Linked DNA regions of Canis lupus familiaris. The protein of the gene in region 3 purifies or fractionates together with the protein of the main gene of each other region. This does not show direct contact. Links are inferred from orthologs where the notes say so. Each region holds a gene or a part of one and is shown on either strand. Other genes may lie near its edges.

Region 1 (4,058 bases), on a different chromosome or scaffold from region 3:
AGGGGAACAAAGGTAGCAAATGGAATTCAGGTGGCCAACCAGCTGACCTTGAAATAGGCCACAGGTTGTGGATTATCCAGGTGGTTGGTGGTCCCGGGGTCCTCAAAAGTAGAAGTAGTAAACAAGAAATGGGGAACCAGAGAAATGACAGCACGAAAAAGACATGGCTCATGGTTGCTGGAGAAAGGGGACCATCACCGAGGAATGTGGGAGGCATCTGCAAGCCAGAAAGGCCGGAAAACGGATTTTCCCCGAGGGCCTCCAGAAGGAAGGCAGCCCTGCCCACACCTGATAGTAGCCCAAGGAAACCTATTTTGGACTACTGACCACCATCCAGATCTGTGAGATGCTAAGTGTTGTTTAAGCCACCATATCTGTAGTAATTTGTTACAGCAACTGCAGAAAACTAATACACTACCCTAGGGAAACATAAACACATGTGCTCGAGAAGATATGGGGTTTCTAAGTATGTATCCTTTTAAAATATAAAAACAGGGTGGAGAGAATCCATCCCCAACCCATAACAAAGATCACCTCTGGCAAAGAGACGGTGGTGGGAATCGGTGTGAGATTCACTTAGTTAATAATGTTCTACATTTCTTTAAAGAAAACGTGTTTGTCCATGTATAGCTTAATTGAAAATTAAATTTTTAGGGAGTGGACAGCCCTGGTGGCTCAGCGGGTTTGGCGCCACCTCCAGCCCACGGCGTGATCCCGGAGACCCGGGATCGAGTCCCACATCGGGCTCCCTGCATGGAGCCTGCTTCTCCCTCTGCCTGTGTCTCTGCCTCTCTCTCTCTGTGTGTCTCTATGAATAAATAAATAAAATGTTTAAAAAAAATTTTAGGGAGTTACCATTCACAGATTAAGCTTCAAAGCATTAGAACATGACCCTTAATGTTGGAAACCAGGGAACGCGATTTTCTCTGACAATCCCAATGGCAGTACAAAGACCCAGACTTCACAGTCTCCACAAGTAATACCTCGAGTAGGCTCTGCCTGTGTAGACAAAACACCGAAAAGAGAAACCATTCTATATTCATAAGCACAAACCCATCAACGAACCAAAATCAGCCTTGACTAAAAGTGAGATATGCATTTACGGTCAACGGACAAGATTCGGTCTCAAAGCCTTAGGTTTTCTGCCTCTAGCCCACCCAACCACGACTCCCACCTGGACATGCCTCCTTAATACTTGCCCAGTTTGGGCAAGTCACTTACCTCTGGGTTTTATTTATCCCAGTGTAAAAAAGATTTGTTCTACCACTTTACCTGTGTCATCGGATGGTCAAAAGGTTTTAAGTGGGATGCAATGACAGGTTGCCTCCCACAGTCCATAAACCCCACTTTGAGTACTCCCCTGGCTATAGAACAGCACTCTGTAACCAGAGGTGCTACCGTGTCCTCACAGTGAGCAGGCCTAATAAAATCCCCACGGCCCCCAAGAAGGCCAACTAAGGCCAACTACCACGGTTATTCCAGGCAAAGTCAGAGGGAGGGTATGCTGGGAGGGCGGCTGTCCATAAGTGGAATCCAGTGGGTAAGTCCTGCCATGTGGGGGACGCCTGGGTGGGTCACTGGTTGAGCATCTGCTCAGGTCGTGGTCCTGGGATCAAGACCCACATCTGGCTCCCTGCATGGAGCCTGCTTCTCCCTCTGCTGTGTCTCTGCCCCTGTGTGTCTCTCATGAATAAATAAATAAAATCTTAAAAAAAAAAAAAATCGACTGCGGTACCCAAAGGTACAGACGGTGCAGAGACCCCTGAGCCACCACCATATGCAGTCAACTATGAACTGCTTTACAACCCGAGCCAAAAAGCCAATGACAGCCTCCCGTTTCCAAACGGGACCAACCAAGGGGTCCAGGCTGGGGCCCCGGAATCGGTGAGGCCCATTGCCCACGCCGGGCTCAAATGTGTGACCTCCAGAACAGCAAGTGCCATCACATGCTTCCCCTTACACAGCTACGAACGCAATGAAAAATTACTCAAAACCATTTCTGGGAGTGGGGGATTTCTTTCTAGATGCAGACACACCCAGGAGCCTTTATGTCAAGGAGTCCAGTGCAATGCCCACCTCCCAGCAGCTTCCCCGCCACTCCCTTCCCTGTTCTCCCCAATGAATAAACACTCTCGTGCCCTCCAGAAGCCACCGTAGCACAGCCCCCTGGGGACACCTGGCCACACCCCCAGCGGGGTCCCTCGCCCCTGTGCCCCCTCCCCGCCTCCGACCCGCGCCCAAAGGCCGCAGTAACGGCCAGCAACGCCGCCCCTACATCTGTTCTCCACCCGGAGGGGGCTAAAGGAGGGAACTTTCCAGGAGGGACCATCCTACAAAAGCCAAGCCCCGCGCACGCTTTTCCGTGCTGACGCCCATTCACGAGGGCACACGCACTCGGAGCCAAGTCTGTCCGGTCCGCGGCGGAGAGCTCGCGAGTCCGGGGCGGCACGGCGGGGAGCGGGAGCGGGGCCCCCGAACAGGGAGGCGCGGCCGGGCGACCCAGAGCAGGTGCGCAGGTGCGCAGGTGCTCGGGTCCCCGGGCCCGCGGCGCCCTTCTCAGCGTGGCGGGGGCGCGCGGGGCGCCAGCGGGCAGCCGGGGAGCCGGGGAGCCGGGGGCCGCGGGGCCACGGGGGCGAGGGCGGGCCGGGGGCTGCGCGCGGGAGCAGGGGGACCGCCAGCCGTACCTGCCGCCGGTGGGTCCGCCTCCTCGTCCGCCTCCGCCTCAGCTGCCGCCACGACTGGAGCCGCGCCTGCCTCCGCGGACAGCCGGTCCATCACGCCGCCAGTCATGTGAGCGCTAGCCACGTGACTTCCTCCGCGCCCGCCGGCCCGCCACGCCACGCCCACCCCGCCCGGCCACGCCCACACCACGCCCACTCCGGGCGGCCACGCCCCTTTTGTCTGGCCTGGCCACGCCCATCCTGGCCCGCCCCGCCCCGGCCACGCGGCCACCGGGAGGCCTGGCCCGCGCCGCTCGCCCCCTCGTTCATCCGCTAGCTCGGCCTCTGGTCGTCACACTCACCCCTCCTACGGTTACTCTGCACTTCCGCGTGGGCGGCCCCCGCGTCCCGGCGCGTCCTCCACTCACCCCTCGGTCCTCAGCGCCCCCGCCCCGCCCCGCCCCGCCCCTCACCGACGCACCCATCCCCCCTCTCTCATTCATCATTCATCCACGCTCCCACCCCCGCTCACTCACCCTCTCCCTGGCTCGCTCACTCACTCACCCGTCCACGCCTTGCTCACTCACCCACACACACTCATTCACCCGCTCCCTGGCTGCCTCACTCATTCATCCGTCCACCTCCTCTGCTCACCCGCCTTACCCGCCCCTTACCCGTTCACTCCCGCACTCCCACTGCCCCCGCCCTCGGTCCGGGGTGCATTAGGTGCCTCCAGATTTGGAGGGGGGCACACTAGAGCAAGTGTCCTGGCTGTTCCCAAATGAGGCTGTGGGAGCTCCGGGAACGAGGAAGGGACCCCCTGGGGGGCGGAGCCTGAACTGATGCTGCGGGTGAGGAGTTATGCAGGAGGAGGAGGCAATGGCCTCCAGCTGGCTCAAACTTTCTGAGGCATCAAGCAGCTGGAAACGCTACTGCCGTCCTCCTGGAGCTAAAGTGTGGGTGCAACATGGCAGAAGAGGAATCTGGAGCACAGGAAGGGCTCCATCAGGGAGGATCTCCTGATGTTGTGGCCTACTGACACCCCCTGGGAGCTGGCAACTCCATCAGTAGTCCAGGCCCCATGTCCAGGTCCTTCCCCACATTGTCCCTTCTTGCTACAGCCACTGGATCCTGCCCAGGTTACAGCACCCAGGAAGTCCCTGTGAGCTGGCACAGGCAGAGACGCTCTCCCCCACTATAATCTTGCAAGTGCTGGTCCCTTCCACACATGGACTTCCACAAGTCGCAGGGGGACACTGCAGGATCCTGTGATACACAGCCCCCATCTGATGCTGCTTCCTTCCGCATCCTGGCCTTCCTTTCAGCTGCTCTTGCATCCACTAATGTGCTCAGCACTTTCTATGTCTCCACCCCCCAAACACACACACACTCTTTAAC
Region 2 (3,500 bases), on a different chromosome or scaffold from region 3:
AAATTTCATGTTATGTGTATTTGACCATAACTTAAAAAAACAAGCAAAAACAGAAAAACATTTCAGTTCTGTACCAGGCTGCGCTGAATCCTCAGTTCCTTTATTTTAAGTTTCCTTCGATCCTCCAATGAGAACTCCACTATTGGTCTCTGTGTCAGAAAGAGAATGTCATTCATTAGATTTCTTAATTTCTGAGAGCAATGAGCTGAGATATCCCCCACCACTGCCCTCTCTCCTGCTCACTTACTCTACTCAAAGGTAAGGGGCCATTCTGCAAGCAGTCTATCCAATTTAGATTTCAAAACCTTCTGATCATCTTATCCGCTGAACCACTGCTTATTCCCTCACTAACTGGCTCCTCTTTCCTACCACACATAAGTCAGAGGACACTGGACAAAGCAGAGAAATGGTTTTCTGCAAAGGGCCCTCAGAGGAATAGGTCTCCTCACAGGATGAGGCTCACCTTCAGAGGCCCAAAGATCTCTGGATTGTTGTTGATGTGGCGAAGGGCTGTCAGGGCATGCTCGTGCTCCTGGAACTCTGCAAAGGCATAGCCCAGGGACTGACCCTTAACTTTCCCATGCACTCCTTTGAGGTCTCGCATCACCCGACACTATGAGTAGAACAAGAGAAAGAAGGCATGATTACAGAATGAGAGCATGAACAGACTCACTGTGAGATCAGGTGGCTGGGACAGAATCCTCATCCACATCACTGCCACAACAGCCATATTATACTGGACTAACATTTACCAAGGTCTTATTAGCATACATCTACTGAAAGCACAAAGCCAATTAAATAGATACTTTCTGGCTTTCTAAGAGTTTACAGAGATCAACAAAAAACCTATAAATAAGCATGTAGATGAAAATACCCCCCAATTAAAATAGTCAATTGTGGACAATACATACAAGTTCAAAAGTATATGGTACTTTAAATTGTGTAAGTTATCACTGAGGATGAAGCGCTGTCCATAGATCTCATCACTGAAGAAGCCACTCAGAAAGGAAATTACTGAAGAAGGAAAAGAGGCCTGATGGCTTTAGCTAAGAAAGGCACTGAGGGGTGCCTGAGTGGCTCACTTGGTGAAGCATTTGATTCTTGATTTCAGCTCAGGTTATGATCTCAGGGTTGTGAGATGGAGCCCCATTCAGGCTCCCTGCTCATCAGAGAGTCTGCTTCTCTCCTTCTCCCTCTGCTCTCTCTCTTTCTCAAATAAATAAATAAATCTTTAAGAAAGACATTCAGGTATGAGGAAGGGCCTGCCTAACATATAGCCTAAGGATTACAGCTGAAGCTTCAGCTAGCTTTGCTCAGAGCTCGGATCTTCTCTGGCATGATTTGCCTTAAATCCGTAAGCTGAATGTAATAGGTGTCCTGGGACATCAAAGATACCATACCATAGTAGCATATCTTGGAAAAGGCTGTAGTTCTCATGTAATCGAGAAATCTAGGTATTAAGGATACATGGATGCTGCATTTGGTATACTTCCAGTACCTACATTGTCCCAAGAACTGTGCCATGTACTATAGGGAAGTTAAGAAAAGCTTAAAATGAGGTTCCTGTCCTGAAGAAGCTTACGATTTTGGTGAGATACTATACCAACACGTATTAAAACATTAAAGAGAAAATTCAAGGGGTGCCAGGGAGGTACAGTCAGTTGGTTAAGTGTCTTTTTGCATTCAGCTCAGGTCATGATCTCAGGATTGTGAGATCGAGTGCTGCATAGGGCTCTATGCTCAGTGTGGAGTCTGCTTGAGATTCTCTCTCTCCCTTTCCCTCTGCGCCTCCTGCTCGTGCTCTCTCTTTCTCTCTCTCAAATAAATAAATAAATAAATAATAAATAAATGAATCACTCTTGAAAGAAAGAAAGAAAAAAAGAAAGACCCCTTAAAATGACAATAGAGGGATCAAAAAATAAAATAAAGAGAAAATTCAATGCAATGCAAATACAGTAAAACACATGAATTTCTCTGATGATAGGTTTTAAATGTACAAGCACTTATTAAATATTGTAGATGCTGATATGAGAAATTACACAACTGACCTCTATGCCAGTAACACTTTGAACAGTTTTACTAAGAGTGGTGTCAGATATGTGCTGATATGTTCACATTCTCTCATGTAATTCCCCAAATACCAATGCCATACATTTTGAAGAGATTTTCCAGGATTAGGAAAACAGTTTATAGTCATAAATCAGAGCAAAGTAGATTTCTAATATTGGCTGTGTTACTTATTCAATAAATATAGATTGAGAGATTTACTATGTTCCAGGTACCCTGCCAAGGACTGGGAGCAATGAGAAACCTGCTCTCAAAGAGCTCAGGAGAGCTGGTCAGGAGAAATGACTAGCAGACAACGACAGGACCATGTAATCATAAGTGCCAGGATGAAGATTTGCAGAGGGTGGGGCAGAGGAGAAGGCTCTGTACTCTTATGGAGTCTCATCAAGTTTTGGTGCAAATCCAGCGTTTGTCTAATACAACCGCTGAAGACCCGCATGACTCTCTGTGCTTACCACACAGCACCAAGGACTCTTTTCGTACAGTAAGAGTATTGCAAATGGAAGTAAAATGTTCTTCTAAAGAGCAAAATAGACAGATTATTTTCTCTGCAAGAAAATTAACACTATAGCACCTGCTATGATGCTGAGCACACAGCAAGAATTCAAATTAATTCATGAGGGCAGACATTTCCTCACATTGTGCTACAATCTGGACAATGTGGGTGAAAGGCAGTTATAAGAAGAGAAAACAAACAAATAAACATGAAAACTGCCAATCTCAGCCTCATCTGTTGACAATGCTCCCAGAAGAAATTCTGTCAATCGGCTAGCACCAAAGCCTGGAATAAATGCTTAATCTGACCCAGGACAAGTACCAAACTTCTAAGTGGGTGGGGCCAGCTCTCACCTCCTTGAGGCGCACTCCCTTCTCCCCTCTGGTGGCATTCAGTAGAAGCTTCCGAAGTTCTTTGTCATCCACACCTTTTGGGAGGTTGTGCAGGCACAGCCTGGTCTGGGAGACGAAGATATTCTGGTCCTTAAGTTTCTGATGCTTTAGCAGCTCAAACTGAAAGAACAACAAATTGTTAATAAGACAATCTACCCTTTAAAAATGCAAAAATAAAAAATTAAAATAAAGTGAAATAAAATAAATAAAATAAAATAAAATAAAATAAAATAAAATAAAAAATAAAAATGCAGGTTCATAATTCTCCAAAAGGAAAGAACTGTGGCCACCACCCCCACTCCCCCACCCTTCAATAACCCTTCATATGGACAAAAGAAGGGAAATCACCTATCTACCACCTTATGAGGCCTAGCATAGGGAAAGAAAGGTTCAAAGAGGCAAAATGGTGGGTAGGTGGTAAGATCTTGGGCTCTAGATTCAGACTAAACTGGAAATTCATCCTTAACTGGAGAAGTTACATGAAATTTTTTAAGCCTCAGTGTTTCCCTCTACAAAGTGAAACTGTAGCTCAAAATACCAATCTC
Region 3 (3,500 bases):
ATTTATTCTTTTTATTCAGTAGCATTACATATTAAACATACATACACTACTGAGGATCAAGTAGATAGAAAGTAAAACACTTATTAAAATATGACAGCTCCAGCCTGGTCTCTTTGATAAAATAATGCTAAAATTGCAACTTGGATTCTTCCATAGGAATGGATTCAATGAAAGAATGCCAACCATGTTAGGTGTGGCTACATACCACATTTCATCTGAATCTGCCCCAAGGCAGTAGTTAGGAGCCAGGCAAGGTACTTCTAGACAAGTAAAGACAGATACTAAAACTCTGAAATAAATCCAAAACTAATAATTACACTATGGAAATATGAAGCTGCTTTAAAAAATTTTTACATCTGACTTGGAATACTTAGAAGATTCTTGCCAAGAATCAACATGCTGTAAGACATTTTAAAAGACAGGGTTTTTTCCCCTCACATTTTCCTCTAGTTTTTTTAGCTGATCAGTTACTTAGTTTATGAAATCATTCTCCAGTGGACAGATAAAAATAAGTATTCACCATAGAACATGAAAGCAAAATACTGTATGCAGTGAAATTGATTGCTTGGACTGCTTTTTACTTCAAACTCCTATTTAAATACTGTATCTGCTTTACTTTCATCTCACAGGGCTTGAAATAAGTCTAAATTAACATGATTTGTTTAACTTCTAAACTATAGGTAAGTTATCAACAGAGCAGTTTACAAAGAAAAGTAAGTATCCCTCAATCACAGTTTTGAAGAATATTAAAAAGGACAATATAACTGTGATGGTTAATAAAGGTGGGAAAAAAGTAAGCCAAGAAAAAGATGAAGCATTTTGTTAAAATCATATAATAGCTAAATCACAAAGATAGACAAATTATTTACAAGAAGAAATTAATGACATCCCCAACCTGAGAAACATTATCTTTGTGCCAAGGAAAAAACTAAATTAGAAGCTCTGATACTTGTTAACAAAATATGCTGCAGTCAAAAATGAACCCATGGTTTCCCTGATTGATCCATGCAAAAACATAAACAAAATGGGAAGTATAGAAAGAAGTATGCTTACTTTGCCTGTGACTGCTGACCAAACTTTTAAAGTGTTGTCATCAGAACCACTAACTATTCGGTTACCACAAAACTGTAAGCATGTGATCACATGATCATCATGTCCTTTCAGAACCTACAAGATAAATGTACAGATTAGAAATATGTTATTAAATTATATTTCTTAAAATACTGGTAAAAAAAAAAAAGTAAAGCCACAAATAGGAGCAGCAATCTAAAGTCTATTTTTAAAATTACAATTATATAAAATACAAAGTACCATCCTTCCTGAATGCTGAATCAACTATTAAGGATTTTATTTTTCCATATTCTATGACTTTTATGTGAGATATCAACTATTAACATTGAGTGAATCAAGACTTTTATGAGTCAAGACCTCATAAAGATGGTTCAAACACAAATGTATTTTATAATTATCTATTTGTTCAAACCAAAAAAATATACATCTATGTTCTGCAATTTTTACACACAAAGACAAAAACACCTACAAACTAGAAAGACGAGTAATAAAAATTATCAACTTCTTCAATGTAAAACAAAAAAAGCCTGGGAGTACCCGGATGGCTCAGTCGGTTAGGTGTCTCTTGACTCAGGTCATTATCTCAGGGTCATGAGACTGAGCTTTGAGCAGAGCTTCTCACTGGGTGTGGAATGTGCTTGAGATTCTCTCTCCCTCTACCCCTTCTTCCCAACTCCCACTCATATGTGCTCGCTCACTCTCTCAAAAAAAAAAAAAAAAAAAGCCTGTTATAATGTTTACTTATTAATATAACAGTATCTCCCCTAATTGCTTTCTTCCAGTTGTATAAATATATCTAAGAATTTCAAGCATTTTTGCCACTATTTACATACTTACAGTAAGACAAAAAAATCGGTATTATCATTAAATTTATAAAAATAAATGTCCCTCAAAAGGGACATCAAAACACAAAACATGGGCACTCCTCAAAAAATCATGTTCTAACTACCTAGTCAGAGAGCAAGCAAATTCTTAGGTAAAATGTCTATGACACAAAATTCAACAAGATATTCAGAAATTTTCATTTCCTAAGATAGAATGACATGCAATTCAACTCCTCTTTTATTCAAGTACAATCAGTTGTCTGGAGAAATTAGCAATAGGGGAATACTGTCCGTTACACATTTTCAGTTATTTCAAAATATACTGTTTTCGTTCTACAGGAGATAGGGTCAAGTTATACTTCTGGCCAAGAAGAACATACTAGGTAGCAACACTGATTAATGCTTTCAGTTACACTGTGCAAGAGTTCAGTTACCTTAGGAGATTTGAGTTCTCCTCGCCTCCAGTTAGTATCAATTCTATGCTGTCTGATGTATGCACTTTTCCATGGACTGTGTATGAAACCTGGTTTTATTACTTTTCTTCTCTTGATGTGCAATGGTTCATCAATACCTGAAATTTTAAAGAGTCACCAATAGTAAAAATTACACATTTTATAATATATCTCATTTTCCCCTATGCTCAAAACCACTGAAATACAGGACATTGTCCAATTTCTAATAGTTATTATAAAACAATAATGTAAAGTCTGCATTTTCTATGGCATGTTTTCATATTGACTTTTTAATTTCTTTCTCTAAATAATTCTGTGAAATGTTGGTGAGGATGTGCAGAAATTTGAGCCCTTATGCAATGCTTGTAGGAATATAAAACGGTATAGCTGCTATGGAAAGCAGTATGGTGGTTCATCAAAAAAAATTAAATATAGAATTACCATATGATCCAGCAATTCCAATTCTGGATACACATCCAAAAGAATTAAAAGCAGAAACTTGAACAGATATCTGTACACTCATGTTCAGAGCTGCATCATTCATAATAGCTGAAAGGTGGAAGCAACCCAAGTGTCCATCGATGGATGAATGAATAAACAAAATGTGGTGTGTATATATATACAATGGAATATTTATTCAGACTGAAAAAGGAAGGGAATTCTGACACATGCCACCACATGGATAAACCTTGAAGACAGTATGCAAAATGAAATAAGCCAGTCACAAAAAGACAAATACCATATGATTCCACTTATATGAGGCACCCAAAGTAGTCAAACAGAAATAGAATGGTGGTTGCCAAGGGCTGCAGGAAGAGGAATAGGGAGTTACTGTTAAATGGGTATGGACTTTCAGCCAAGAAAGATAAAAAAAGTTCTGGAGACGGACTGTATAATAACATGCCTGTACTTAATGCCACTGAACTGTACACTTAAAAATGGTTAGAATGATAAATTCTCAAGTATATGTTACCACAATTTTTTTTAAAAGTCATTAAAATAATGATTCTATAAGAGAAGGTAAGGCAAGGACTGTTAATCCCACTTTATATAATATAGACACTTGAGAGGGTTTCACTAATTAGTCTGAGCAATAGACAGGCAGAGGCAGGATTAGAAACCAAGTACCTTGGATCTATACTTCTCACTCAAC
Region 4 (3,500 bases), on a different chromosome or scaffold from region 3:
TTGTCTGCTTTGTCCTCCAGGTCAGTGACCTGTCTTTTCATGACTCTCTGGCTACTTTTGTTGCCATCCTCATCGCTCGGCAATGTCTGCTCCTTGAGGATCTGATTCGCTGTGCTGCCATCCCTTCACTCCTTAATGCCGGTGAACCACCAGTCCGTAACCCTTAGAATTTCTGGATCCCAAGTTTGACTACACACTCCATGGCCACACCCTCACTGTTGAGTGTGGGGCTCCCCGCTATCACCAGAGGCCAGTTGTGTGATGGGCCTCGGGCCCAGAGCGGCCTCTTTCTAACGCTGTGTTGACTGCCCTGATCCTTCCCTGTTGTGACCCTCCTAAGGGACCCCCCCCCATCACACTGCAAGACAGCTGACTGCTCTGTCTCTCCTCCCCCATTATCTTGTTATTTCTCCTTTTGCCTGACTTCGCCTTCCCTTCTAGCCCCTTGCCACCCACAAACCCACGGACAGTCCACTTTTGCCCTGTCCAATTTGCTTTGTTTTCCTTTTTTTTTTTTTTTTGCAGCCTGCAGTGAGCAGGACTCTGAGCCAGGGGCCCGGCTGACCTGCCGCATCCTCCTCCACCTTTTCAAGACGCCTCAACTCAATCCTTGCCAGTCAGATGGAAGTAAGTGACCCTGATCTGGGCCTAGCCAGCAGTAGAAAGTGTGGCTGCTCCCCCCCCCCCCCGCCCCACCCACTGCCTGCACCCCACTGGATCTACTTTTGCTTCTCATGACTTGGGCTCCCTCTCCAGACAAGCCTACAGTAGGAATCCGTTCCTCCTGTGACCGCCACCTGCTGGCTGCCTCCCAGAACCGCATCGTGGATGGAGCTGTGTTTGCTGTTCTCAAGGCAGTATTTGTACTTGGTATGGGGGTAGGAAGGGAGTGGTGCCAGAAGTGTGTGTGGGGTGGAGTGCCAGCTAAACTACAAAGGAAAGTCTTTCTCCCTCCTGAAGGTGGTCTCTCTGACCTTTGGGGAGGAGAGGAGGGAGGGAAGTATATTTCTGTCCCATAGGGCAGGATTTGGGGGAGTTGCTGCTTCTGTGGGTCTGGGGTGGGTCTCTACACCGTGTTCAGATCTCACTCTGCCCTCCCTATCTCCCGCCCGTGAACCACAGGGGATGCGGAACTGAAGGGTTCAGGCTTCACTGTGACAGGAGGAACAGAAGAACTTCCAGAGGAGGAGGGAGGAGGTGGCAGTGGCGGTCGGAGGCAGGGTGGCCGCAACATCTCTGTGGAGACAGCCAGTCTGGATGTCTATGCCAAGTACGTGCTGCGCAGCATCTGCCAACAGGTCAGTCTCACCTTCCCCCCATGCATCCCAAATGCCTTTATATAATAATGTCCTGTTTCCAGCCCTGATCATGCCACCTTCCTACTATACATCACGTCTCTCATCAACCCCCAGCCCATCTCCCCCTTATTCCTTACCCCCACTCACTGTTTGCCCCAGTGCCCTGGTTATCTACTTCCTCAGGAATGGGTAGGAGAGCGTTGCCTTAAATCATTGTGTGAGGATAGCAATGACCTGCAAGACCCAGTGTTGAGTAGTGCCCAGGCCCAGCGCCTCATGCAGCTCATCTGCTACCCACATCGGTTGCTGGACAACGAGGACGGGGAAAACCCCCAGCGGCAGCGCATTAAGCGTATTCTGCAGGTAGGCCAAGGTGGTGAGGGTCTTAGAGGAAGCAGTGGGGCCCAGGCCCTGGGTGAAACAATGGGGACCCTGAGGGAAAAAGAGGGGGTTAGTCAAGTAGGAAGACTGAACAAGGATGTGGGCAAAAGGTGGTCAGAGCAACAGCCCCCATGTGGGTTTTGAAGTCAGGCCAGTGCAGTCCAGACCCTAGAGCCAACTGCTGGATGAGGGCATGGCTATCTGGGACTGTAGCTTATCAGTGAGAGGCGGCACAACATCTGCTAAGCCTTGTTTAAGGCCTTGCTTGTTTGGTGTTTGCTCACAGCTCAGTAACGAACAGCAGTAGTACTTCATAGCTCTTGATTACCAAGTGTCAGCTTCATGCCGAGTATTGTGCTCAGCACTCTATGTCCATCTTCTCATTTAATCTGTCCCAACCCCCAGAAAGTAGGTAGGAGTGGCCAAGTTTGACCAAGGAGGAAACCAAGGCTTGAAGAGTTTATTAAGTAATTAGCCCAAGGTCACACAGCTAGTTTAGAGTCAGGGTGCGAGCCCAGGTGGGCCTGTGCCCCTTCCACTTTGCCATGCTGCTTCAGGCATTCAGGTAACTGAAGGGTGGAGAAATAAAGCTGTTAAAAGAGCTACAGGAATGAGTCTCTTCAGCCCAGAGGAGATAATGTTAAAGAGAGATTAACTCACATTAGCCCTTGGGTCTGTAAAGGACTTTGAACAGCTGGTTTAAAACAGCCTGCAACTTTAACATCAAAGATTTAGGGTAAGTGCTAAGCAGAACTTACCCATGTGGAGGAATGTGAAGCTCTGGAATAGGAGACAGGGGAAAGATGGGAAATCTTTCCAGAACCGTTTTTAAAATAGGCTAGATTTTTCAACGATTTTGGATCATTTTGGTGTAGTCTTTCCTAAAGATGGGGACGTGGAAGTTCCTTTCAGACCTGTAGGCATATGTGTTTCAAGGTTGTGAGAGATCAGGAGGTGGCTTAGTCAGGGTGGGGGGTAAGTGGCTGGAAATGGAGAGGGGGGACAGGATGATGATGAGCTTAGGGGTGGCGTCTCCATCACAGAACTTGGACCAGTGGACCATGCGCCAGTCTTCCTTGGAGCTGCAGCTCATGATCAAGCAGACCCCTAACAATGTGAGTTGGCACCTGGCCCTCTCTGTCCCATGCTCACTTCCAGCTCCATGTGTCAGGGGTGTGGGCTACCATAGAAGAACCTGTGTCCTATGGAACTTCAGGTTCTTGAGCTGAGAAAGAGAGGGTGGGAAGATGGCAAACGCATGGGGCTGATGAGTAGGGGGAAATGGGTCAGGAATGTTGGGGCTCGGTGGTGTGGGGGAAGATTGGCGATGGTGGTGGTGGGAGGCAGTTTCTCTGGTCACAACTGTAAGGAGGCATGTGAGGAGAAGACAGTGGGGGAATTGGAGAAATAGGGAGGCTCTGGAGGGCAGGCTCTCAGCAGAGTTGTGTCTTTCCCTCTCATTACCTTCCAGATGCCTTTCTCCGCCCTCATCTCCCATCTTTCCTGCCGTCTGTTTTCCTTCCTATCACAGTTACCTATTGAGCACCTCTGTGCCTTTCATCCTCCCCAGGAGATGAACTCCCTCTTAGAGAACATCGCCAAGGCCACAATCGAGGTTTTCCAACAGTCAGCAGAGACAGGGTCATCTTCTGGAAGCACCACAAGCAACATGCCCAGCAGCAGCAAAACAAAGCCAGTGCTCAGGTTGGGTAGAAATGCATTCAGACCCCTCCCCTTATGACTTGTTCTCTCATAGTGTAAATGATTTCAGTCTCACAGAGATACTAGGCCTGTCCATTGGGCAGGGAGAGCATGGCTTGT
Region 5 (3,500 bases), on a different chromosome or scaffold from region 3:
AATCAGGAAAGGCCTTAAGAAAGTCATCAACACACAAGGGCTTAAGCAGATTTATCCCCAGTCAGAACGTGGACAGAACTCACACCTGCCCTGTAAACTCTGTGTGTTATTATCATGTTTTAACTCTATATGTCTCTTGCAACACAATTTGACCCACTGTGAATCGGAAACCATGTAGTGAGAAACCGTTATAATGGGGTTCTAATGAATATTAGAGATTAGCAGCTATTAAGTCTAGGAACAGATAAAGTTACTGAGTAAAATGCTTAGTTTGTACCTGAAGTATATCCAGGACCGCGTCTGCCGTGCCCCCTATTTCTGTAAGGTCTACTACCTCGACCCATTCCTTGACCATCATCAGTCACATAGCCTTTTTCCTTATCTGTACGATTTGGTGGTGGTCTAGAACTAGCTCCAATCTGTCGCAACTGCTCATCAATTTGTAATCTCTCCAAACGCAACTGGTCTACTTCCTATTTAAAATATACAAGATAACAGTAAAAATAATTTGACATTTTACTTAATAATACCTTTCTCCTTTTCATCAGATAAAAATATACTGGAAATATTTCAATTTCAGTTCTAAATTTATAGTAAACACTGTTACACAGAATTATCAGGAAATTGAATGGTCTCCTTAAAAAGAAAAATTACTATAGATAACAGATTATCGATGTCCATAATTAGAGATATAACAAAAATACTCAGCATTAGAATTCTACTGTATAGAATTTAAAGTTGATTTGGTACTATTATCCAATAGAATCTGTTAAGGCACAGATATGCTAGTTTGGGGACTTCTTGATGATAGGATGTTGAATAAAGCAACTCTAAAATACAGGTAAATGACATTTAAGGTTTAACCAGCTAACCTTAAAAATCACACACTGTAAATAATCTTAACTGAAATATATTTGCCAGTTCTTATCTTAATTTATGAAGCACTGCGTTTGGGCCATCTTCCGCTTTCAAGGAACATATATTATGGTAGGTCTTTGGATATGATCACACAGTTAAGGAAAAATTATTTTCAGCAAACTGAAAATGCTCCTATTCCTTATATGGTAGGGGAGGGGGATATGACTATTTAAGAGCTGACCAAAAAAGTTAGACTTAACATCAAGCCTTGAAAGCTCTTAAAGACTACAACTGTGCTAGAACAAGTACAACAAAACAGTATTAATGTTGATCAAAATATACACCTGGGCTCCACTGACAGACCCTTACACACAGTGCTTCTGATATGCTGGGTTCTGTCAAATTCAGATGAAGCTTCAATTCTAACCCTTGTCCTTGCAATCTACCCAAAAAACATCTCCTTTACTGGCTATAGGGAACTGGATCCATAACTCTTAATAGTACTGGGTGTCTGAGGAAAGCAGTGGCCATCATAGGGACTGCCTACATGGACAGTCACTGGATAAGCCCCTGTTAAGCTAAGTTCTTAAAATCCTGGTTGTGGATGCTTCTGGCAAAGAAAGGGCAGATAGGTTTAATCTGTGCTCTGAACCAAATTTTCTGTTTTACAAAGGACTTGAGCAAAGGAGAGACTGAGTGAGTAGCTTACTCCTAGAGTATAGTTATAGCTCATGGAATGGGTGTATCTTGCAAAACAGAATGGTAGTCCAGGTTATCCCAATGGGGCAAAGCAGTCACCTTTTGGTGAGAGATGCCAGGCCCAATCAAGGGAAGATCTAGTGATGGAAAGAATAGCAACAGGACAACTGCTGATAACCAAAAAAGATTCAATTGTGAAGAATAAATAAAGGGATCTTAAAAAGAACATTAGTCAAAAGAACAAGGGATTGATTATAATGCAACCCTAACTCTCCAGGTCATCATAATTATTTAAGCTAAGAATATAAAAAAAACCACATACAACAGATTACAAATAAAACACACCTTAAAACAAAAATAAAAAGCAAACCAATGGGGTATCCTACCCATGCAAACCTTGCTGGATGAAACCTTCCCATTTTCAATTATTACGTGACCACCATAAGATGAGTGAAGCCTAACTATTGCACTTTTGTTCCCCTTATTTGCATCCAAATCAAAATTGTTTATTTCTTTCAAGAAATCAGCAAAAATATTCTTATTAAGATAAGATCATACATAAAATAGAAAGCTGGATTATTTTTAAATACTATTTAGTACCAATCACTTGTAATTTTGATGCATACAGATATAAAAAGAAGAAATTATAAAAGTGACATGGGTAAGATCTCATTTCATTGAATTATAGAACATTTTGGCCACAGGAAATCTTAGAAAAGCATCCAATATAGGCAGAAGTGACTTGCCTAAAGTCACATAAACTAGTCCATGATAGAAGACAGACTAGAAGCAAGTCACTGGACTGCCAATCCAGTGCTCCTTCCACTATATCTTGTAGCTTCCTAGTTCCTGATTTCCAGTTTGCAATCTAGAGAAGGCCTAACTGTACAAACACTAACTAAAACGAGCATCTAAAAGACATAAGTTGTTTATATTTTGTATAACAGAGTATAGAGAAAAATACAAAGGGTAAACATTTAAACAGACGACTTCATGAAACACTGAGATTTCCTTGATATATGACATAAAAGGGACAAACAAAGGCAAGTGTTAACAGACACAAAATTTGGCCTGGAAAAAACTCACAAAGGCTAGAAAGGATCAACTGAATGAAAAGGCTATGTACAGGAGTGCCTAAATTGAGTGTAAGGGTTTAACAATAGAATAATGGGAAATAGGGGAATTTACTAAGAACTGGGATATTGGTCCTTTAATTTGTAATGATAGAAAATGGACTTGTGTTTTCAGAAGGAATATAATAAGCAAAACAAAGTATTTTCTCTATTACCTTTTACAGGTCATTCATTGTAACGTACAGGCTAGAATGAACCTTCACTGCTGAAAGACTGCCTGACTGTGGAGTTTTTATATTTTAGTACAAAAGGATTAGAAGTTAAAGTTCTTCTTGTTCTCACCTTTAAATAGTTCAGGTGATAATCCAGAAGAACAGTGGCATTAGCAATGCTGTCCTTTGTTCCCACAAAAACAAATGGTACCATACCCTGAAAAATAAATGGCAACAACGATCCTATAACATCAATAATGGATTATTTGACAAAAATGCAAATAGTGACTAAATCCCTAACACAGGGCCTGACAAACAGAAGGTATACAAAGGTTTGTTGAAAATATAACTCAATACATGGAAACAAAAGTAGTTGGCAGATTTTACACATCTACTGTGAATAACGACAGATCAATACAGCAACCCCATGAGTGTACCATATTGTTATGTTTTAAATGCTACTATTAAATGTTGGCAAAATCACAAATTATGTAATTCAAAATTATACAAGCTCTGACATGAGATGCATAAACAAAACAAATACTTTAAAGTACTTTAATTCATACACTACAGGCTGAATCTAGATCAAATTCTTTAAAGAGAAATTCAAAGTTAAATACTAGGGCACAGAAATAAAAACTAAATCCATTTTGCTAAC
Region 6 (4,143 bases), on a different chromosome or scaffold from region 3:
AGTGACAGTCTTTGAAAGAACACTAAAAGAATCACTGTCCAAGAATAACAAAATTAACATATGCTTTCATATGGTAATAACCACAACTAACAACAAAATATACACCTTGAAAAAAATACATAAGAAAGTTACAACATTTCTAGAAACTCCTACCAAATGTCTGCATATTGATACAGAAGAGAGCAGTGGCAGAATGGACTCAAATGGTGAATTACACATGCCTGCAAATTACTTCTCCCTCATTCCATTTTTCTTAGGTAACATGCCTTCCTTGTGCCCCGTTCGCAAGAAAATACACAAGGATGCTGGGTGGTTAAAGAAAAAGTTATTCAAGGCTAAAGCCTGCCATAATATGGATAATTTAAGTAAAATAAAATAACCACACTGAAACATAACAGTAAGCTAACTTTTTTATCTGGCTTCACATCTAACAGTGTTTCACACACAAGAAAAAAATCTTAATTTGTAATATAAATGATTTTTAGGAAAAGTATACAACGTTGCTATATATCATTGGTTAAAAATAAGTTGCCTTCACCTGACAAGTCATGGTGAATAAGATCAGCAAAATTGGGGTCTTCACCCCACCAAAATATCCACAATTCTCTTCTTCCAGGTCTTTGATCTCGCCGCCAAACACCAAGTACATCTGCCTTAAGGCAGCGACTAAAACTGCTCAAAATGGGGTCTTCCTCTGTCACCGGAAACAGAATAGGGGCAGAAGTTGGGCCTTGCCATACATATCTTTTCCATTTAATTCCCGTCAAGTCAGCCTGAAGAAAAGAAAGCATGAGTATTACAGCACATTCACTCAAAGTCAATAGTACTCACTCTTAAAGCCCTTTATTTCATTAAGACATTACAATTTTTCAATATATACTGAAGATATTAAAGCAGACTGACCAAAAAAATGATTCTTAGATAATTCAACAACCCAAAATTTAAGGAAAGGAACTAAAACCGTGAAAATATTAACACTGACATGTCACTGAGTAGCAATAAATAGATGTCCCTAAGAAAAATAAAAGACTTAAAAATGTTTAATATAAACATGTACTTTAATACTGCACACTCAGTAAACATTTCCTCTAAGTTCTGTTCCAACTGGTCACGTTTGTTCCCTGGTGTCACACTGTAACAGAAAATTTTTAAAGACTTATGATTCCATGTTTATAAATTGATGGCTCCAATGAAATGAGAACTATAGTTGAAAAAAGTGTTCACATATCCCTTTTAGGCAAAGTGAAATAGAAAATGCGCACAAAGAACTGTCAGATTTGTACTAGTCTATTTTCAAAGAACCTGATCCTAAAAGTACCAAAAATAGACGGAGTCAGAGAAAACAGAAATGTAAAACCTGATGTTATGTTTTATTGCACCCGAAGAGATGTTGATTAACGGGCATTGTACAAGAAAACATTTTATAAGAGGAAAGGGCATTAAAAAAAAAACAATTTGGCACCGTGAAAAAATTCGACAGGGAGAATTTAGTAATTCTTTAACTTAGAGGTGCAAAGCATAAGGTGCCAAAAATGAAACTGCTGATACATGACTGGCAGTTTACACTTGCCAACTAGTTGTGCTCCGCCCACTCGGTTCACTTACCTATCACATACTCTTAGTATTTCTCCTAGCACACAAAAAATGAAAAAAGTCAGTCACTGAAACTTTAAATCGTGGACGAAGCTAAGCTACTGTCCAACTGAGGGCTAAATATTTGCAACAGTTGGTAGTTTTCAAAAAGTCTTAACTGTGGATGTTACCAGAACTGGGCCAACCTATACAATTGTCAGTCCTGCATCCAGCTTCCCTAGACTTTTCAATATAATGAGAAGCAGCCTGCTCAAACCAATCTAAAAATGCAAGTAAAACAAATAACAGCAACAAAAATTAGTGCAAAACCATAGAACCTCCTCCACTAGTCCCATTTCACTCTCACACAAACATAATGTTCTATTAAAAGCAAGACGGCTAAAAATTGTCAAAATGGCAAACTGTTTTCAAAGTTCAAAGACAAAACATGAAATGGTATCTACTGGTTTTTACAGAGAGATCTGAACTCATCGAAGGGAGAAACTAATCTTCTGTTAGTTTGACTCATCAGAAAACGTAAAACGAAAAGAGATTTTTTTTTTTTAGTACATAAGTTCCGGTGTCCTGTTTGGGGGGGGGGGGGGCGGGGGGGGGAACGAATGACCAGAGTGTGGCATAAAGGCACTGGGAGAATGAGCAATAATGTAAAGTGTTAAGAAGAGATACATAGTCAATAAGGAGAAAAGCAATAGTTAATAAGCAAGACACACCGGGAAATGGGAGTATCCTGCCAGATAAGGAGCACAAGTTGAAGACAAGACTACGGTTGAGGAAGAGTCGGAAACGGGGGACAAGGAAAGAAAAAAAAAAAAAAAAGCCAGCAGTCCTAAAGCAGAGCTCAGGATGGGGCTGAGCGAACGCGTTTCCCGGGGCTGGCGCGGGGCTCGGCCGCGGGGCTCGGCCGCGGCGCCGGCTCCGGCTGGGCCTAGCCCGGGGACTCGGGCATCTGGATCAGACCCGGACCCCCTCCCCCACGGCCCAAGGGCGCACCTCGCGGCCCCCTCCCCCACCGCCCCGCACGCCGCGGCCCCCGCCCGCGGCCCCTCACTCACCAGGCAGAAGAGGTTACAGTGACAATCTTCCAGGCTGGCCCCGTTCGGCACGAAGGAGGAACTCATCGTCCCTCACAGCAGCCGCCGCCGGCGCCACAACCCACCATCCGCCATTACCGCCGCCTCCGACCAGAGAGAGAAACACAGACACCGGGGAGGGCGGGGGGGTGGCGGCTGGGGGAGCGGTGGAAGAGGAGGCCGCCGGGCCGCCCGCCCTCCCCGCCCACCCCCCCGCCGCCGCGAGCAGCCCCCGCCGCCCGGCCGGCACCTAGCCGCCCGGGGCCCAGGGCCGGCGGGAGGGCCGCGCCGCGCTCGCCCCGCGGGCCGGACTGCGGCCGCCGCGGAGCCCGCGGACGCTTGCCCCTCTCGGGGGCACAGAGGAGATATGTGCTCCTTCCACAAGAAGAAAAAAAAAAAAAAACCAATAAATTACACAATAAATAATTAAAATCGAGTCCGAGAGGGCAGAGCCCGAGCCGTGGAGGGTGCTCCCGGGCGGGGAGGCGCCCGTGGAGGGGCAGGAAGGGCAAGAGCCGGGAGAGAAGCCCAGGCCCCCGGCCCGGCGGCGGCGATGTCCTTAAGCCCAGAATCTCCTCGGCGGCGGAGGTGGTGGCGGCGTCTGCGGGCTCAGACCATTCTCTGGCTGTGTCTTCGTGTCGTCCCTGGGCCAGGCCGGCCTAACGTCTGCTCTACTGCGGCCTCACCGCCCGGACGCCGTAGTCTCCCCCATTTTGTGGGCCCAGCGGGCGGCGTTTTTCCCCCTTTAATCCGAATTCACGGGTTTTCCCTTCGCTTTAATGGCGGCCACAGGGACCAGCTCGCCCTCTCTGCTCGCCCATTGGCCGCCTTGAGGTCACGTGGGCCCGGGCTCCGTGGGGAGGAGGAGAGAGAAGGGAGTGAGAGAGGGCCGGGAAGCTTTCGGCGGAGGCGGTGAGCCCTGGGGACCGGACGGCCAGCTGGCGGCTACTAAGACAGCGCCATCTGCTGGGTGCCTCGGCCACTGTAAGATGACCCCGGGCCCAGGCCCTAGCTTTCTCCTTGCGGGGGGGGGGAATCTACAGCGCAAGAGGGTTCGCATCACCGATCTGAGAATTACGTGGAAAACAGTTTGATTTCGTCGGAAAAGAAAGTGTTGCAAAAATTCCCGGGCATTCTCACTTGCAAACCCCCCGGGCTTGGGAGTCAGACGATCTGCGATACAACTTGGACACTTAAAAAGTTGTGATATCAAGAAAGAAAGAAATGTATGAGAAACAGTATAGCCTCGTAGTGAATAACCTGGGAGTGAGAGCCACGCTTCCTTGGGTTCAAGCCTTGAGCCAGTCAGTTCTTGGGGTCTCAGTTTCCTCATTTGTTAAAAGGGGGAAACATAACCCTATCTCATAGGGATGCTGTGACAATGGAGTTAACACAAATAAACCAGGTAGCCCAGTGTCTGGCACAGACACCCATTGCTAACAGTTACCTATTATTGTTGTCATCGTGACCTCATAAGATT
Region 7 (4,090 bases), on a different chromosome or scaffold from region 3:
AAGCTCCATCCAACCACACCAGATATGCTTGCTCAGGCAGAGCAAGCTGTGAAGCAAACCAGTGACGGGCCCTTTTAGGGACGAGGTATGATCTTACTTTACCCAACTCTCACTGACCTGGGAGCAAGTTGTTTTAGATACCAAGAAGCAGCAAGACAAGGACCCCATGCCTTGTAACCCTCCCCCACCTCCTCCCATTCAGGAACCACAGCCTAGCACACGTGCACATCAGAAGGAAAGGCTTTTACAACAGACCTTTTCTTGCCCAAGACTCTGTTGTTTAAATTTTAAAAAGATGGGAGTGTGGGAGAGGAAGTCCTGAAACAAAGGTGCACCTACCTTTGGAGGTGTAGAGGTCAACCTCAACAGTGGGGTTCCCGCGAGAGTCAAAGATCTCCCTGGCGTGGATCTTGAGAATAGACATGGTGACTTTCTGTGGGGGAAACACAGTTCATACTTCCCATAAACCATAATGCAGCCTTGGGTCATTCATTCAAAGAATCGCTTCTGAGGATTCCTGGACTAGAAAGAATTTGCGCTGGACAGATACGGGATGCAAGGTGGCTGCCAAGAGTGGGGAAAGCCTGCTGTGCCCAGCTCTGTAGGGCCTCAAACCCCAGTAGTCTGGTGCTGGTCCTTTAAGCAAAGCAAAGCCTGGAAATGTGTTGTCTGCACACAGGATGGTTGAAGCTGAGACAGTCTGAAGCAGGTTACTGTCAATAGCTCCCACCGAGGGTAGCATGGGAATGGACCAAGGAGACTCGAAGGTCAGAAGCTAACCCATCCAGGACAAAAAAAATGCAAGGTGATACAAGGAGAGAAATCTGGCTTGTAGCGAAATAATGAATTCATAGTTGGGGACATAATTCACCAAGTTAAACTTGAGGTAGCCGTAAGATGTTCAGTCGGTGGATACTGGGATACTTAAAGAAATTTTGAGGCCAGGAGTGTCCTTGGTCTGTACAATGTGGTCTTTGCTATTACTGCCAACTTCTGGGCCTTTCACATTTCACAGTACTTGGATCTTTAGCAAGACAGGACACACCAAAAATAACATCTAATTAGTATTACTTTCAACAGGCATTTTACCCATTCAAAAAAATTAATTATGAAATGTCATAATTGAAATCAAACTAGATTCTATCCTCAAATGTTAGGATACTCCAAGGGAGGAGGCTTTCCTTAAAAGCATCTTATAAAAAAAAAAAAAAAAAAAAAAAAAACAGATTTGCAGTTACAAAGAGCAATCACCTTAGTTCTCAAAGAAAGCCTTTTCACCTCCCAGCCCCAGGGGCTTCCAAGAAAGAAAGGACCTTGTAGGACTGACTGAAGGCAGCCCAGTGGAATTGGGTTAGTGTTCAGAGCCATTATCTAGCTGGGCTCCTCTCCAGTATCTTGTCTGGAATGTTCTGAGGCAGCAAATGGCATCTTTTTTTTTTTTAATAAGTTTCAAAATTAGACAGTGAAATCACTTCGGGTGCATGGGGACTATTTAACAATGAAGTTTCATTCGTTAGCCAATAAAAAGGTAAAAAAAAGGTATCTAGTTTTTATTCACTATCCTACAAAAAGGCAAATTTGCTTAAATGTATTTTTTAATTATAAGATTTTAGTAACTTTGAGTTTTGGCAAATCATATACCTGTGTCTGATGGCCACCACCTAAAAAAGTCCCTTTAGGCCCTTTGCAGTCAATCCCCACCCCCCCCATCCCTAGGCCACCATAGACTTACATTGTGCATTTAGATGCGCTTTAAGCACATCTTTATTACAATACATCCTCTTGCTGTTGTAAGATGTCCTTTCGTTTAATTTAGTAATATTAATACACAGCGACTTATTTCAAGCTGTGAAAATAAAAGTTCAACTTATCCTTAAAAAGGTTAGAAAACTACTCCCGATGTCATTACGGTTCAGTAAGCAAGGCCAGCAAGAATGGATGGAGTGTTCACGGCTCATCTGCCTGGGCTGAACCCCGGACCAGGGGCAGCACGTGTGGACTGGGCAGTCAGGGCCGAGGGGTGTCCCCGGCCCCAATTCACACAGCAGACAGGGAATTTTCTTAAAATATGTCCTTCTAACGTCAGATCGGTGGCCGACTGCCGAGAGCCCGGCCGGGGAGCCGGAGCAGCTCCTGCATGACCTGGGCGAGGTCGCCTGGACCGCTTTCCCAATTACGCAACGGTTCGGCCGCAGTCCGCTGAAGAACAAGCACCCTCTGAAGTTCCATTCATTAGAGGCTGCCCCCTCCGTCACCAGCCTCCCGCCTCCCGCCTGCAGGCCGGGGCCCCCAGCGGGGCGCAGGGGCTGCTGGTGGGGGAGGGGCTCGCGGCTTCTGGGCATCCCGTCCCTGCCCCTCCCTCCACTTTGGGAAAGGCCTGGCTCTAACGAGCCCCCGGGCTTAGGCCCGCACCTCCCCAAGCCCCTGCAGCGTCCGGCCCGCCGTCCCCCACGGCCCGCGTTCCACTCGCGAGCTCCCATTAGCCCTGTGAACCCCTCATCTCAGCCGACTCCGCTCCTGCCCCTCCGGCGAAGCCCGGCCCGCACGTGCCGACCCGCCCCTCCCACGTCCCCACCCCGGACCCACGCGCAGGGCCCCCAGGCTTGGGTGCCGGCTCGGCAGCCCTTCCTGGATTCCCTACCTGGCCGCCGATAGCGCTGCCCGGGGAAAAAGCAGAGGATGCCGCAGGCACCAAGGACGAGCGTTAGGCTGCGCGGTCCGGACGCTCCGAGGACCCGAAGCTCGTCTCAGCGCCGCCGGCCCCGACTTCCTGCCCAGCTCCCCGATGCCCCGCCCACTTCCCGCCCCCCAGCCCGCCCCCGCGGCGCCGCCTCGTCATTGGCCCAGCGCGCCGTCACTCAGGCCTGCGCTTCCCGGGAAGGGGCGGGACTGTAGCGGCCCCCGCGGCCGGGAGGGGCAGCGAAGACCCGGGGACGTGGAGCGGGGCGGGACTGGGGGGGTCGCGACCCCCCCCGCGGCTGTGTGGGGGTGCGGGCGAGTCCCTGCCCCGGCGCCCTCCATTCTCGCCCCCGGCTGGGACCCCTGGCCGAGCCGGCCTGTGGCGCCAGGGCCCCGGGAAGGGGCGGGGTGGCGCGGCCGGCATGAGGGTTTGGGGCTCCGGCACGTACTCCGAGTCCCGCACGCACGCAGCGTCGCTCCGGCGCCTCACGTCCGGCCCACGACCTTGGCGACGACCTTCGCGGCCCGCCCTCCCGGCCGGCCCCGCCCCGCCCCGCCCCGCCCGCAGCGTGGGGCCGGAGACCCCGTCGGCCTGGCGACGTTGGCGGCCGCGCGCCTCGGTGCGGCTCCCGGGCCGGGTCTGCAGCGGGGCCCACGTGCGGCGGCCTGCGCCTGCGCGCTGCGCCCCGGCTCGCCCCCGCCCCGCCCTCCGCGCGCCGGCGGGCGAGCGAGTCTTTGTGTCTGAGCGTGGGCCAGACCACGGGCATGGGGTTGGGCGCGAGGTGGCGCGAAGGAAGTTTACTTCCGTGCAGTTAGGAGCTGATGCTTTTTGAGCCCTTCCAGCGTGCCCGGCACTTCTCCACGTGCGTCTCAGGGTTAATGTTGCATCTGGAAGGCAGACTTCGTGTGCCTCCGTGCCTCCCCCCGTCCCTGTGAACCGCGTACAGTGATTTGGGACTGGAATTTCCCACAGACCCGAGGCATTTCTCAGAGTTCAAAGCGGGTAGTATTCCACGGTCGTCTGGCAAGGGAGAAACAGGAGAAACGGTGCAGTGATTTCATTCACCTTGCTGGTGGAGAAAACTCCATTTAATGCTAAAATGCATTTTAAACTGCATTTAGAATCAGTTCTGCAGCACATTCTGCTCTCCAAGAAAGGGCTGAGGCGATTACTTCGTTTTCTATAATCGTTAGATTTGTATTTGTCAGCGTTCTCCTTGGTCTGGAAATCCGGAAGCTAAAATAATGTCCTATATCTCCGTATTTTCAGCATTGTTGTGCAGAGAGAGAGGGAGAGAGAGAGAGATTCAAATGTGTATTTGAATTTAGTTATTATTTCTCCTGGTCAGCTGCAAAAACTGCTTTTCTTCCTTCACTGCTAACATTTTTATCTCCTGAGCTACTGGCTTAG

The links.
Region 1: the proteins of FBXW7 (region 3) and SNX8 purify together in Homo sapiens (affinity purification with mass spectrometry; 3 studies listed by BioGRID and IntAct, counting the BioPlex papers as one, with this or other methods). This does not show direct contact. The link is inferred for Canis lupus familiaris from reciprocal best matches to the Homo sapiens genes FBXW7 and SNX8.
Region 2: the proteins of FBXW7 (region 3) and RBM28 purify together in Homo sapiens (affinity purification with mass spectrometry, with the first as the bait; 3 studies listed by BioGRID). This does not show direct contact. The link is inferred for Canis lupus familiaris from reciprocal best matches to the Homo sapiens genes FBXW7 and RBM28.
Region 4: the proteins of FBXW7 (region 3) and MED12 purify together in Homo sapiens (affinity purification with mass spectrometry; 3 studies listed by BioGRID and IntAct, with this or other methods). This does not show direct contact. The link is inferred for Canis lupus familiaris from reciprocal best matches to the Homo sapiens genes FBXW7 and MED12.
Region 5: the proteins of FBXW7 (region 3) and FMR1 purify together in Homo sapiens (affinity purification with mass spectrometry, with the first as the bait; 3 studies listed by BioGRID). This does not show direct contact. The link is inferred for Canis lupus familiaris from reciprocal best matches to the Homo sapiens genes FBXW7 and FMR1.
Region 6: the proteins of FBXW7 (region 3) and MED13 purify together in Homo sapiens (affinity purification with mass spectrometry; 5 studies listed by BioGRID and IntAct, with this or other methods). This does not show direct contact. The link is inferred for Canis lupus familiaris from reciprocal best matches to the Homo sapiens genes FBXW7 and MED13.
Region 7: the proteins of FBXW7 (region 3) and ENO1 purify together in Homo sapiens (affinity purification with western blotting; 3 studies listed by BioGRID, with this or other methods). This does not show direct contact. The link is inferred for Canis lupus familiaris from reciprocal best matches to the Homo sapiens genes FBXW7 and ENO1.

What each region holds. Positions count from the first base shown.
Region 1 is NC_049227.1:14,974,906-14,978,963, reverse strand, and holds the start of SNX8 (sorting nexin-8), read right to left. Parts: upstream 2,801-4,058; 5' UTR 2,791-2,800; coding exon 2,685-2,790; intron 1-2,684. UniProt on the Homo sapiens protein: May be involved in several stages of intracellular trafficking. May play a role in intracellular protein transport from early endosomes to the trans-Golgi network.
Region 2 is NC_049235.1:7,922,464-7,925,963, reverse strand, and holds part of RBM28 (RNA-binding protein 28), read right to left. Parts: intron 3,076-3,500; coding exon 2,917-3,075; intron 614-2,916; coding exon 464-613; intron 150-463; coding exon 75-149; intron 1-74. UniProt on the Homo sapiens protein: Nucleolar component of the spliceosomal ribonucleoprotein complexes.
Region 3 is NC_049236.1:50,550,200-50,553,699, forward strand, and holds part of FBXW7 (F-box/WD repeat-containing protein 7), read right to left. Parts: intron 2,467-3,500; coding exon 2,330-2,466; intron 1,168-2,329; coding exon 1,054-1,167; intron 1-1,053. UniProt on the Homo sapiens protein: Substrate recognition component of a SCF (SKP1-CUL1-F-box protein) E3 ubiquitin-protein ligase complex which mediates the ubiquitination and subsequent proteasomal degradation of target proteins.
Region 4 is NC_049260.1:55,693,338-55,696,837, forward strand, and holds part of MED12 (mediator of RNA polymerase II transcription subunit 12), read left to right. Parts: intron 1-20; coding exon 21-141; intron 142-525; coding exon 526-627; intron 628-756; coding exon 757-870; intron 871-1,122; coding exon 1,123-1,298; intron 1,299-1,481; coding exon 1,482-1,661; intron 1,662-2,722; coding exon 2,723-2,794; intron 2,795-3,249; coding exon 3,250-3,383; intron 3,384-3,500. UniProt on the Homo sapiens protein: Component of the Mediator complex, a coactivator involved in the regulated transcription of nearly all RNA polymerase II-dependent genes.
Region 5 is NC_049260.1:117,386,550-117,390,049, reverse strand, and holds part of FMR1 (synaptic functional regulator FMR1), read right to left. Parts: intron 3,060-3,500; coding exon 2,973-3,059; intron 474-2,972; coding exon 278-473; intron 1-277.
Region 6 is NC_049230.1:34,603,131-34,607,273, reverse strand, and holds the start of MED13 (mediator of RNA polymerase II transcription subunit 13), read right to left. Parts: upstream 2,801-4,143; 5' UTR 2,712-2,800; coding exon 2,646-2,711; intron 774-2,645; coding exon 539-773; intron 1-538. UniProt on the Homo sapiens protein: Component of the Mediator complex, a coactivator involved in the regulated transcription of nearly all RNA polymerase II-dependent genes.
Region 7 is NC_049226.1:62,805,283-62,809,372, forward strand, and holds the start of ENO1 (alpha-enolase), read right to left. Parts: upstream 2,801-4,090; 5' UTR 2,642-2,800; intron 434-2,641; 5' UTR 425-433; coding exon 340-424; intron 1-339. UniProt on the Homo sapiens protein: Glycolytic enzyme the catalyzes the conversion of 2-phosphoglycerate to phosphoenolpyruvate. In addition to glycolysis, involved in various processes such as growth control, hypoxia tolerance and allergic responses.